Linked DNA regions of Caenorhabditis elegans. The protein of the gene in region 1 interacts with the protein of each later gene in a pairwise test. Each region holds a gene or a part of one and is shown in the gene's direction. Other genes may lie near its edges. The genes, in order: ubxn-2 and air-1.

Region 1 (7,962 bases):
TTATGCAACAAAATAGTTATGAATTTTGAGCCGAGACTCATTCCCCCTAAATACCATTCAATTGTATCTAACAATTTTACATTCTAAATTTCTTCCGATTTGAATAAATATGTTTAACATCTATTCCGTTTTGTTTTATGAAGATTGTAGTAGACAAGTAGTAGAAAACTCTAATTCACAATCACCTGATTTTTATAGAGGGATAGAGGACAACAGAGCAAGCGGGAAAGATGTAGGTCACAATAGGAAACAACTTCCATGGTAGGCAAGCGCGTTTTCAGGGACCTGCCCGCCAGCCTTCCTGCTCATTGTTTGCATTTTTACGTGAATTTACAAATTTATTATATAATTTTCTCATTTCTATAAATTTGATAAATATCAAATCACTAGTTAGCATAAGAAGCGGGTTGTGGCGAGAGGCAGGCGGAGGTTGGAACTTTATACAGACGTGACCTTTCGGTCATCATGAACTTATCGCGTAAGCGACCTCTCTTTATAATTCATTACTTCTTACACTCTCTTGTAATAAACTTCTTCTCTCCTTGTCACTCGCTCAATACACAACAATAATTTTTTACTTGGAAATTGTTTTAGCATCTGCAAAAAGTATTTATTTATCAGTTTTAATAAGAAAAAACGGGAAAAAGCTGTGAAAAACGAAAGAAAACAGGCGGAAAACAAAGCAAGATAAATGGCCGCTGAAACTTGTCGGCCCCTCGGCCATGGCCTAGAAACCACTTTTCCTCGTCCCTCGTAAGGAAAAAGTTGCAGTGAAGGATCCCGTGGTTTCCCGAGCAATTTGAAATTGTCAAATTAAGTTCAAAAACCAAATGATGGTTTGAAACTACAGGAATAAATCGGTATCCTGTGTCACGTAGCCTACTTGACTTGGAGTAGGATGGCTCTAAAGTTTCGGAACATTTGCGGAAACTTGGGTTGATCATGATGTGTGTAAAGGAATGAAGCTACCGTATAATACCTGCATGCAAGAATAATTTTGATTAGTCCATTTGCAGATTTTTAAAACTTGTCGTTCAAAACAACGACTCACAGCCTCCTCACGTGGAAATGACCCAACAACAGGGGGCTTGCGCGTTTCTCGTGAGCGTGGGAAAATTTTGCCGTTGAAAAGTAATTTCCTTCAGTTTTCATGGGTTTGAAATCGATTTCAAACTTTTTAATTACGTATCAATTGTAAAGCTACTTGAGGGTAAGGTGAAGGAAAAAAAAGATTTTTGATTTTTGTTCAAAAATAAAAGCGATGATATAAAAAGAAAAAAACATCTAAAAATTGAGTTTTTCTCATATTTCGTATATTTATCATCATTTTTCTAGTGGAAATTGATGTATATTTGAAAAGTAATCTTCCACCAAAGCTTATGTTATAAAAAATATGAAGAAAAACAGTAAATTGAACGTTTTCGGTAATTTCTCAATTTTCCACGCGATGCACGAGAAGTGCGCCAATGGACCGACTTTAAATTTTTTTTTCTCATAGTCAGTGGGATTTTTTTTCAATCTGATGGTTTCTTGATGCTTTTGAGTAAAATTTTGAATATTAAAAATAAAGACATTTCAAATATATTATCAAAATCCACTTTTAGACGTGATTTCTCAGAAAAATTAGAATTTTTCCTCGATTTCAGGTAAAATTTCAGTTCACAATTGTTTTTTAAGTTTTTCCCCAAAGAAACTGTTGATTTATTATCAATTCGCAGAATTTGGACGCTGCTGGAAACGTGCCCCCGACAAGAATTGCGTCAACAGCGGCTGCTGACGCACTTCCCGCACGCGCTGGCGCGTTTCTCGGCGCGTTTTATCATTATTATTTTGTTTCCTATTTCCATCGGTTTTTCGTCGTTCTTTTTTTGTTTTTCACTCATTTTTTCTCAAATTTAATATTTTTACAGTGAAAACCTTCAATTTTCCACCACAAAACCCCGGAAAAAATGAGCAGAAAGTGAGTGTCGCCCGCGATTTTCAACCTCAAAAATCGATAAATTACTTGCAGTATTCGCACGTTTCGTGACATTGGAAACAACGACGATGGGGGGCCGGACAGCGACGATTCAGGAGCCGATGCCGCCGAGAGAGGAGCCCCACAGGAATTTTACGCTGGAAGGTAGCCGCAATTCCTAGATTTTTTAATTAAAATTTTTTAAAACTTGGATTTTTCAGCGGACAAGCAGTTCAAGGACCACGTGGAGCTGCTGCTCGAGGCCCGGATAGTGAAGCCCACATTCGGAGAATCCTTCAGGCCGCCGAAGTGGTTCAGCCAGAGGGAGGAGAAGCTCCAAGAGGACGCCCGTCAGGGAGAGAAACTATTGTAAGCCGCGGTGGGCTGCTGAAATAGCTGAAAATCATTGATTTCTGCTCATTTTTTGCGCGGCGAATTTGCTTTAAAATCGATATTTTTTTGCAGAGCCTAACGCTTCACCTGTGGTCCGACGGCTTATCGATCGAAGACGGCCCGTTAATGTCTCGCCAGGACCCCAGAACTATTGAATTCTTGGAAAGCGTCGGAAAAGGGTACGGAATGACGGAAAATGGAGGATTTCTTGAAGAAAATCGAGAGAAAATTGGATTTTTTTGACGAGAAAATCAAGATTTTCGATCCAATTTTCACTGAAAATACAAAATACAAGATTTTTTCTTAACACATAAAAATCAGTTTTTTGGCAGGAAAATCATGATTTTATCGTTGAAAATGCAAAATTCTACTTAAAATTGGGACTTTTAAGCTGTTTTCATGTAGAATTTAGTCCAAAATTTGAGTTTTTCAAAGTTTTTTCATAGTAATCCTATTTTCAGCAAACTTTACCTGGAAATTGTCCAGTTTTCGCCAAAAAAAAAATCGATTTTCCCACGATTTTTATTGATTTTAACAAATAAAATATGTGAAAAATCTTCATTTTAAACTAATTTTCACTTAAAAAATGAGAAAATCTCGATTTTTTGGCCGAAAATTTAAAAATTTGATGCTAAAAATGCAATATTTCAGCTGAAAATTGCATTTTTTAAGTTATTTTTGGGCATTATTAGCTTAAAATTGATGTTTTTCACTGTTTTAAGCTGATTTTCAGCGATTTTCTCTTGAAAATTGTTCACATTTCGATTTTTTCCACTATTCTCCTCAGTTTTTAGCAGAAAAATCGACTTTTCTTCGAATTTGCTGATTTTAAAATCAAATTTCGTTTAAAAAAACTTTTATGAATTTTCACATAAAAATGATGAAAATTCTCCAATTTCTGTCGGAAGAATTCCTGAAAATGGAATTTTTATCTTTTTTTTTCAAAAAATTCAAAATTTTGCCAAAAAATCGATTTTTCTACAAATTAGTCGCTTTTAACAGCAATTTTCGTTGAAAAAAACTCAATTTTTATAACTTTTAGCATAGAAAATGTTGAAAATGGCTTAAAAATGTTCGAACTTCTTCAAGAAAAGTGCCAAAAAATTCATTTTTTTTCACATTAAAAAATTTTTTACAGAAAACCATGAAATTTCCAATTTTTCTCCAAAAATCTCCGATATTTCTCCCTGCAAATTTGAAAATTCCCCAAAAATAATTTTTGTGAAATGCCAATTTTCAGCCAAAAATTGATTTTCTAGCGATTTAGCCGTTTTAATATCAATTTTTACACATAAAAATCGGTTTTTTGGCAGGAAAATCATGATTTTATCGTTGAAAATGCAAAATTCTACTTAAAATTGGGACTTTTAAGCTGTTTTCATGTAGAATTTAGTCCAAAATTTGAGTTTTTCATATAGTTTTAATTTTATTTTCAGCAAACGCCAAAAAAATTTTGATTTTGCAACGATTTTTGGCGGCGATTTTAATATCAACATTTGTGCAAAAATGCCAATTTTAATCAATTTTCACATAAAAATTGAGAAAATCTCGGTTTTTTGCCTGAAAATTTAGCATTTTATCGCAAAAAACGCATTGTTTCAGTTGTAAATTGTTAAGAAACCGAGGAAACCTATATTTTAATCAGTTTTTTAGCAAAAAAATCGATTTTTCTACGAATTAGCTGATTTAAATGACAATTTTCGTTGGAAAAACTCAATTTTTATGAATTTTCACATAAAAATGATGAAAATTCTCCAATTTCTGTCGGAAAAATTCCAGAAAAGGCATTTTTATCCACTAAAAAAAATTCAAAATTTTCCAATATTTTCCTCAGTTTTTAGCAAAAAAATCGATTTTCCTACAAATTTGCAGATTTTAAAATCAAATTTCGTTGGAAAAACTCAATTTTGATGAATTTTCACGAAAAAATGTTGAAATTGGCTCAAAATTCTCCAATTTCTTCGAGAAAAATCCCAAAAAAAATGGAACTTTTTTTCCATTTTTTCAAAAAACTCAAATTTTTCCAATATTTTCCTCAGTTTTTAGCAAAAAAATCGATTTTTCTACAAATTAACCGATTTTAAAATCAAATTTCGTTGAAAAAAAACTCAATTGTGATGAATTTTCACGAAAAAAAAATTGAAAATTCTCCAATTTTTACCGAAAAAAGTGCCAAAAAATCCATTTTTCACTAATTTTTCTATTTTTTTTTTGTTTTTTTTCAGTGAAATCCCTCCATCACTTGTTCAACAATATCCGGGAAAAGAAATCGATTTCAAAGTGAACCGCCACCACGAGGAGTACGTTGCTCCGAAGATGAAGCCATTCGGCGGTAGTGGAGTCCGTTTGGGAAATGTTGTCCCAACAGTTTTGGGACAATCATCGTCGTCTGCCACCACTGCTGGGACATCATCTGCAACAACTGATCATAACCCGGATCATACTGCTGAAAATGAGGCAAAACAGCTGGAAGATGCTAAGAAGGAGCTGAGCACCAATATGAATGAGCCAACGACTAATGTACGGAGTTTGTACTACGGTTTTGGAGCAGCGAAAATTTTTGGAAATTTGGAGGAAAACTGCGGCTAAAATTGGCAGTTCTAAAAGAAAAATGGACGAAAAAATTCAGTAGAAATAGGCTAAAATCAACTGCAATTAGTAATTCAGTCCCCCCACAAAACTGACCTGAAAATGCAATAAATTAGAAGAAAAACGGTCGAAAATTACCTGAAAATCATAAAAATCGAAAAAAAAAATCGGTGGCCGAACTTTTCGATTTTCTAGGCCATCAGGTGAAAAGTTAGACCCCCCCACAAAACTGACCTGACCTATCACGCAGAATGTCAAAACAAAATTGGGGGACTAATTTTTCACTTGGTGGCCTAGAAATCCAAAAGTTCGGCCACCGATTTTTCATTTAATTTTTATGTTTTTCCGGTCATTATTGATAGTTTATCTTCGCATTTTCAGCCATTTTTCCACCTGAAAACTTACAAATAACGCTTCTTAAGCACCGCTTTGACACCTCCAATCTCCTTGACCATTTGGCCAAACTTTTGGATTTTATCGATTCCCAGCCACGCTTTCAGGGACATCTGTAATGTAAATTTGGTTGGAAAAATGGGATTTTTTTTCAGTAAAAAATATGAAATTTTAACGGAATGTGGGGGAAAAAAATTTGACCAAAAAACATTTTTTTCGCCATTTTTTGGCGAAAAACTCCATATTTCCTGTGAAATATGATATTTTTCGAGTTTTTCACTGAAAAATCTTGAATTGCTCGGAAAAAATCGGAAAAATCGATTTTTCAGTGGAAAATGTACGGAGTTTGTACGGTTTTGGAGCGAAAATTTGTGAAATTTGGAGGAAAACCGGCTAAAATTGGCAGTTTTAAAAAGAAAAATCAAAGAAAAAATTCAGTAGAATTAGGCTAAAATCAACTGCAAACTTTTGAAAATTAAATTTTAAATATATGTTATCAATTATACACTAGAAAAAACATCCCAGAATCAGTTTATTTCTGAAAAATTTCAAATCGGATAAAATAAGCTTCAAAAACACTCTAAAATTAAATGATTCTGATAATAAAATATTCAAAAATTCGCTTAAATTGGGAAAAAAAATCGGTGGCCGAACTTTCGGATTTCTAGACCATCAAGTGAAAAGTTAGTCCAGCCCATTTGAAAATAGCTAGACACAATTCAAAATGGCAAGAAGACGTTTGTGGAGGACTAACATCTCAGTTGGTGGCCTAGAAATTCAAAAGTTCGGCCATCGACTTTTAAAATTTTATTTTCTTCCAATTTTTCACAAAAATGTGCTGAATTACTAATTATTCGATGGGAAACCCGAAAAAAATCGGTGGCCTAACTGTTTTAAAAAGTCGGCCACCAATTTTTTTCGCGCAAATTTGACCGTTTTTTCGTCAATTTTCCAAATAAAAAATTGCTGGCCTAGAAACCCAAACCTCGGCCACCTATTTTTCACCTAAAAACCGTACCTAAACACACCATCAGGACGCTTTTCTGCTCTCCGACGCTCATTTTCTGGGAAAAAATCAGATTTTTTTCCTGAAAAAAACGTGAAAAATCAATAAAAATATCACAAAAAGGTCGTAAAATCCTTCAAAAAATCAATAAAAATTGGCAAAAAAAAATCGATAAAAATCTACAAAATTCATATGATTTTAAACACAAAAAAAACGGAGAAAAATCTACTTTTTCGAAAAAAAAAAATTTCAGGCTCTAATTATAGATTTTCAGTCGAATTGTGGCTTCTTTCCTGATATTTTGATTAATTTTAACAAAATTTTCAGATCCAAATCCGTCTGCCAAACAATCAGCGTCTCGTCGGTATTTTTAATCATTCTCACACACTTGAAGCAGTTCGTACATTCATTTGCACGTGAGTTTTCAGCCGGAAAAAGCTATTAAAAACTCTCATTTTTCACTAGAAAAAGTAGATTTTTAGAAAATTTCGAATTAAAAAAATAAAAAAATCATCTAAAAATCACATTTTTAGCCTGAAAAATTCGAAATTTTCCAATGAATAATTATTTTTTAATAATATTTTTCTGATATACACAGTGATAGAAAAATTACATTTTTCAAATTAAAAAATTACATTTTTCAAATTAAAAAATTACATTTTTCTAGTTTTTTCTTTCAAAAAACTCAAATTTTTTTAATTTAAAAATTTTGATTTTCCAGCGCCCGCCCAGATATGATCTACGCTCCATTCCAAATGATGGCTGCCTACCCTCCAAAACCATTTGAAGACGAATCACAGACTCTGAAGGATGCAAATGTGCTCAATTCGGTCGTCGCCGTGAAAATCTTGCCCACCACCAACTGAGGAGATTCCTGACGCTGCTTTTTTGGCGGGAAAATTGAAAATTGAAAATTTCATCTGAAAAAATTTCGAATTTCTACTCGTTTTTACCCCCCAAAACCTCTCAAATTCCCTGAAAATACCTGTATTTTACGCTAAATTATTTGATTTTTTCCCCCCATTTCCCAATATCGTTTTTTTTCTTTCTTCTATCACACTTTAATGCATAAAAAAAGTACACCGTTTTCTGTGAAAAATTGCGGCGATTTTTATTGATTTTTTGTTTTGGAATTTGCGAGTTTTTCAAGCTCTGAAATATTTTTTTTATTTTTTCCAGATTTTCAGAATTTTTCAATTTTTAGTGAAAAATGCACATTTTTTACAAATTTTCCATTAAAAATTCAATTTTAAAGTCAAATTTTGAATTTTTCAGATTTTTTCCCAATTTTTCAGAGAGAAAAATCCTTCTTCTGCGATTTTTTGGTGAAAAATTTAAAGTTTTCAAAAAATGTAAAAATTCACTTTTTTTGTTCCAATTTTCCACTGAAAAATCGATTTTTCCCTGATTTTTTTCAAAAAATTCAAGATTTTTCAGTGAAAAACTCGAAAAATATCATATTTCACAGGAAATATGGAGTTTTTCGCCAAAAAATTTATAAAAAATTTTTTTTTGAAAAAATTCACAAAATGCTTGGTTTTTCCTCCCCACATTCCGTTAAAATTTCCCATTTTTCCAACCAAATTTACATTACAGATGTCCCTGAAAGCGTGGCTGGGAATCG
Region 2 (4,745 bases), on another chromosome or scaffold:
GCACTTCTAATGACTGTTAAGCAGTTAATTGTGAACACAGAAACTTCAATATCAGATTTCAGACGAGTTGCACTGAGTTGAACCGTCTGAATAAGTGGTTCCAAGACATATTCGTAGATCCTTTCTGGTTCAAGAAGAAGATTCAAATCTCCTGTTTTTACAGCAATTGAAATAAGCCCGTGATAAAGTGAAAGGCATTGCCGAACTTCTGGGACTGGAAGGAGATCATAGTGTGGTGATGTCATCTTTCTCATAAGTCCGTCCACGTGATGATTTATACCGGCAATACATACTTGACGAACTGTTTTGACGAGATCTGCGAGCATTATTGTAAAATAACTATCTTTTCGAATCAAAGTCTCGAACTTGTTTGCATAGAAAATTAAAATATTTCCCATTTTGAAAATTGTGATGGCATTTTTTTCTGTCGACAGCAGTTGCTCTACCCTAATCTGTAAACTATTATCATATATTATAGTCCAATAATTTAAACTTTTTACCTTGAACGGCGAAGTCAAAGATTTCAGGCATTCATCAAGAACGATCGGAAGATTTTCTGCGGAACAAATTGAGCTGAACAACTGTTTTTCTTGCTCCGTGAGCTCGTGAATCGAAGTCAGCATATCTCCAACTGCCTTCAGTGGTTCTGCCAACCCTTCAGGCATTTGGACAGCCATTTTGTTAATTTCAACAAACTGATTGAGCAATTCTTGTGAGCGAGATGAAATGTATTGGTCTGAAAACTAGGTTAATGGTGAGTAGATTTGAAGAACTAAACGTACCAATGGCAAGCTGGAATACAGCATCATTCTGACTTATGATTTTGAAAGCTTTAGAAAGAATTTGCTTTTTCTGATGAGAATCAACTGTCAGATTTTGAAATTCGCGTTTCAGATTGTTACAGATAATTGCATGGCTTCTTTCGTCAATTTTTTGCATTTTTTCCATCACTTCAAAAGCGGCAAGATGTCCTTGCTCCTGAACCATATTTCTGCAGTTCTCGCGAATTTCGTGGCACCTCTCAAGAACTTTGAAGAAAAATTCCGATAGATGACCACTTTGTTCACATTCGTCTAATTCTCGAAGCTCTTCACTTGATAAAGAATAGTTTTCGAGAAATTCATTTATCATATTACAACGGCTTTCTATACTCGCTTTCTTCTCCTTCAAGCTTGCTGTTTTCTGCACCAAATCAACACTTTTGAACTTTACAGTCTCCATTTGCTTTGATAAATTCGTGCATGTGGAGTTCATTTTTACACAGAGCTCATCGAATTTTTGCACAATGTTATTTATCTGAAATAGCAGATTTAAAATGAAATGATTTCAGGTTTATTCTAACTTTTTCGAACTCGCTCAAATATTCCTTGTTTAGTCTCAACTCGTATCGTTCTAGTTTATTGTGTAGTTTCCTATCAACATTTGAATCAAGGTTCATATCTTCGACCAGTGGAGTGATGAAATCAGCAATTTTGATGCAATCCTGTAAGAAATGCCATAAGTTTCGTTTGTAATTAATATTTTAGCTGACCTTGTCATTATACAGCTTCTTTGCACATGCAGTAGTCACTTTTTCTCGTAAAGGATTGACTGCTGATGAAGTTTTATCGATTACTGACATTTTATTGATTCAAATTCACCGAATTCTGCGAAAAAAATCGCAGAACTCAGTGGAATAGAAAATGCAGAATTGATTTATTCGCAACGTGTCAGCAACGACACTCCGAAATAACAGAGCGCGTGTTGTTTAGCAATGCCGCTCAACAACCCGCCAAGCAAAATTCATTCAAAGTGACTGCCTTTGTTCTAATTTTTGACGTGTTCTTGAATTAGTCGCGATTTTCTTTTTCCTTTCTCATTAAATTTTTTATTCCTCAATTTTATTATAATATTTCAACTCGCAGAATTACATTAATCATGAGCGGAAAGGAAAATACTGCTCCTGTGATAGACGATCAGAAGGCCGAGGTAATTGTTATTAAAATTAGAAAGGCATCAATTCTAATCTTCAGGTTATTTCACTTACGGAAGATAGCAGACCTCAGAGAGTTGACCAGGCAAGGGAAGAATCATGGTGAGAATAATTGATTTATTACTTTTACAATGTAATGGACTTTAGCTGGAGTCTTGATGATTTTGACGTTGGACGGCCTCTCGGAAAAGGAAAGTTTGGAAACGTTTTCATCTCTCGTGAAAAAAAGACCAAGCGAATCATAGCTTTGAAAGTACTCTTCAAAACACAGTTGCTTCAACTTGGAGTCAGTCATCAGTTGAAGAGAGAGATCGAAATTCAATATCATTTGCGGTATGTTTTCTCGAAGTCATCTCATCCAAATCAATTAATCAATATTATTTCAGTCATCCGAATATTCTCACTCTTTATGGATACTTTCACGATGACAAGCGTGTGTTCGTCATTCTCGACTATGCCAGCAGAGGAGAATTATTTAATGTCCTCCAATCACAACCTGGACACAAAGTGAATGAGGTCATTGCCGGAAGGTGTGATTTTGTAGATATTTCAGAAATATAGTAAATTTCCTCAGATTTGTGCGACAGCTGGCCAATGCGTTGCATTACTGCCATTCGAAAGGAGTTATTCACAGAGACATTAAGCCTGAAAATCTTCTTCTTGATTCGAAGCTCAATCTGAAGGTACGCGTATAAATATGGTTAACTAAGTACTCAAAAAGTCTTCTGCAATGTTCTCAGTGCATCCTTTGGTTCTCCGAGCCGAAAGAAGTCACTAGCTGAAAAAGAGTTTATACTCTGATCACACAGTAACATTGCAATAAAAGCTTAGCTCGAGATGCGTGTGCCGTTCTGCTTTTAATGCGATCTGGTTCCTTTTCTCCTCGGGACAATTACCGTAAAAATTAAATTCAACACATTTTATGCATTCTTTCTAAAAAATAAGACTTGTATTTCAGCTTGCCGATTTCGGATGGTCCGTCGTTGCTGATCACTCGAAACGCCATACATTGTGCGGTACCATGGATTATCTTGCTCCGGAAATGGTTTCCAATCAGCCACATGACTTTAATGTTGACATTTGGGCAATTGGAATTCTTCTCTTCGAAATGCTTGTTGGATATGCTCCGTTCGCCAATCAAACTGGTGATAAATTGATCGCCAGAATCAAGGAGTGCAAGATTTATGTTAGTAATTATGAACTAAATTTGTTAGAATCTTAATAAGCAGTTCTCCAACAGAAATATGTGCATGAAGTGATGGTTTGGGTAACCATTTCATCTTTTCATGTCATATATCTCCTGCCTCTCACGGTTTCATCTGTGAGAAGCTTCAAAGAACTGCAATAGAAGTCTAGCTCGAGATGCGTGTGCCGGTTTGCTTTTAATGCAATATGGTTCCTTTTCTCCTCGGGACAGTTCTCAAACATTCATTTCCATTTTGTTTCCCAAGTAGTTTCATCTAAATTGCTTCTTTTTTGCAGATTCCAAGTGTTGTGACTGACGGAGCTGCCAGTTTGATAAATGCAATAATCAAAAAGGAACCCCAAGAACGTCTCCCACTTGTTGACATCATGGCTCATCCGTGGATTAAGGAAATGAAGCAACGCGAAGACATTGAAGTTCCACTCTTCATTTCGACGCTCACGAAATCCAGTCGCAATAATTCTACAGCCAATCAATAAAAGCTCTGTCTATTGTCCATTAAAGTCTCAACCTTTTCTACTTGTCTTTCCAAACAATTATCATCTGCACTTTCCCTTCTTTAGAACCGTATATCATACGGCTACTAACTTCTTATTTTCGCTAATCCATTTAAGCAATTTATCCGTTTTCATCCTTTTGTTTCTTCTCACACTGACAACGAGAAGGATTTAAATTTATCTAAATCAATTATTCTTTATTTGTGTGTGTGTAAAATCATTAGATTCCCGTGAAAGTACTGTATCGTGTGTTCCCGTCTGCCCCATTAATTTTTTCCCAAATTTCGCATCCAAGTGTCTCGATTATCACATAAACGATGGTGCACCTCTTTGTTCATTGGTTCTCAGAAGAAATACAATGCTTTCTGCTAAAAGCCAAAACTCAAACAGTGGTGGCGGTAAGTAGAAGGCTGCCGCCTTTTTTGGCACTGTTTTGTTCCGCCAAAAAAGTAGCATGGTATGCAAACATTATAACGAGTTAACACTACATTGGTAGGAGTGGGAACGTTTTTTGGAACAGCTAAAGTTTGAAACATAAAGCGGAGGTTTAACAACGTTAAGTGGTATCTGGCAGAGAGCCTTAAATATCGTACATTCGCAAAAACTTTATCCTAGCTAGGTGCTATGTGCTACATGAAAAATTCTAGTTTTTTCTGTACATTTCAGAATTTCAAAATTCGTATAGTACATTTTCCATATCAAATGAAAAAATCTGTAAATTTTGGAACCTCACTATGACTGAGTTCGTGCCGAGACCCACTCAGGAAAACATCGTGTGCCTTTTAACTGATATCTCAGCATTTCGTGAAAATACAATATAAACATTTCTTTCTAATGTTTAATAATAACTGTAATCCTTGAAATGAACTGATCAATTAGATACTAGAATAATGCACAAAAATGTTTAATATTTGCGCGAATAACTGGTCGTTACCATCTGGTTGTTACATATCCGGTGATTACTAACCATTTATTTGATGGAGATTTGGATATATGTAGTCAATTTAGGTGAGTACAAACAAGATGACCCGTAGATATGCACTAGAGGTGTTTGTCAAGTGGTTGATTGGAT

The links.
Region 2: the proteins of ubxn-2 (region 1) and air-1 interact in a two-hybrid assay, tested with the Caenorhabditis elegans proteins (one study listed by BioGRID).

The regions. Positions count from the first base shown.
Region 1 is NC_003282.8:2,719,807-2,727,768, reverse strand, and holds ubxn-2 (UBX domain-containing protein 2), read left to right. Parts: upstream 1-1,949; coding exon 1,950-1,960; intron 1,961-2,011; coding exon 2,012-2,122; intron 2,123-2,178; coding exon 2,179-2,326; intron 2,327-2,422; coding exon 2,423-2,529; intron 2,530-4,575; coding exon 4,576-4,870; coding exon of another isoform or gene 4,871-4,939; intron 4,940-6,665; coding exon 6,666-6,754; intron 6,755-7,059; coding exon 7,060-7,204; 3' UTR 7,205-7,456; downstream 7,457-7,962. Other genes in the region: ndua-12 (putative NADH dehydrogenase [ubiquinone] 1 alpha subcomplex subunit 12), read left to right, coding at 7,935-7,962. UniProt on the Caenorhabditis elegans protein: Ubiquitin-binding protein which acts as an adapter for ATPase cdc-48.1 and/or cdc-48.2, conferring substrate specificity.
Region 2 is NC_003283.11:8,219,584-8,224,328, forward strand, and holds air-1 (Aurora kinase), read left to right. Parts: upstream 1-1,904; 5' UTR 1,905-1,917; coding exon 1,918-1,968; intron 1,969-2,012; coding exon 2,013-2,074; intron 2,075-2,119; coding exon 2,120-2,305; intron 2,306-2,358; coding exon 2,359-2,502; intron 2,503-2,546; coding exon 2,547-2,655; intron 2,656-2,697; exon of another isoform or gene 2,698-2,866; intron 2,867-2,930; coding exon 2,931-3,158; intron 3,159-3,195; exon of another isoform or gene 3,196-3,390; intron 3,391-3,454; coding exon 3,455-3,655; 3' UTR 3,656-3,999; downstream 4,000-4,745. Other genes in the region: cogc-6 (Conserved oligomeric Golgi complex subunit 6), read right to left, coding at 1-452, 501-736, 783-1,296, 1,343-1,483, 1,532-1,621.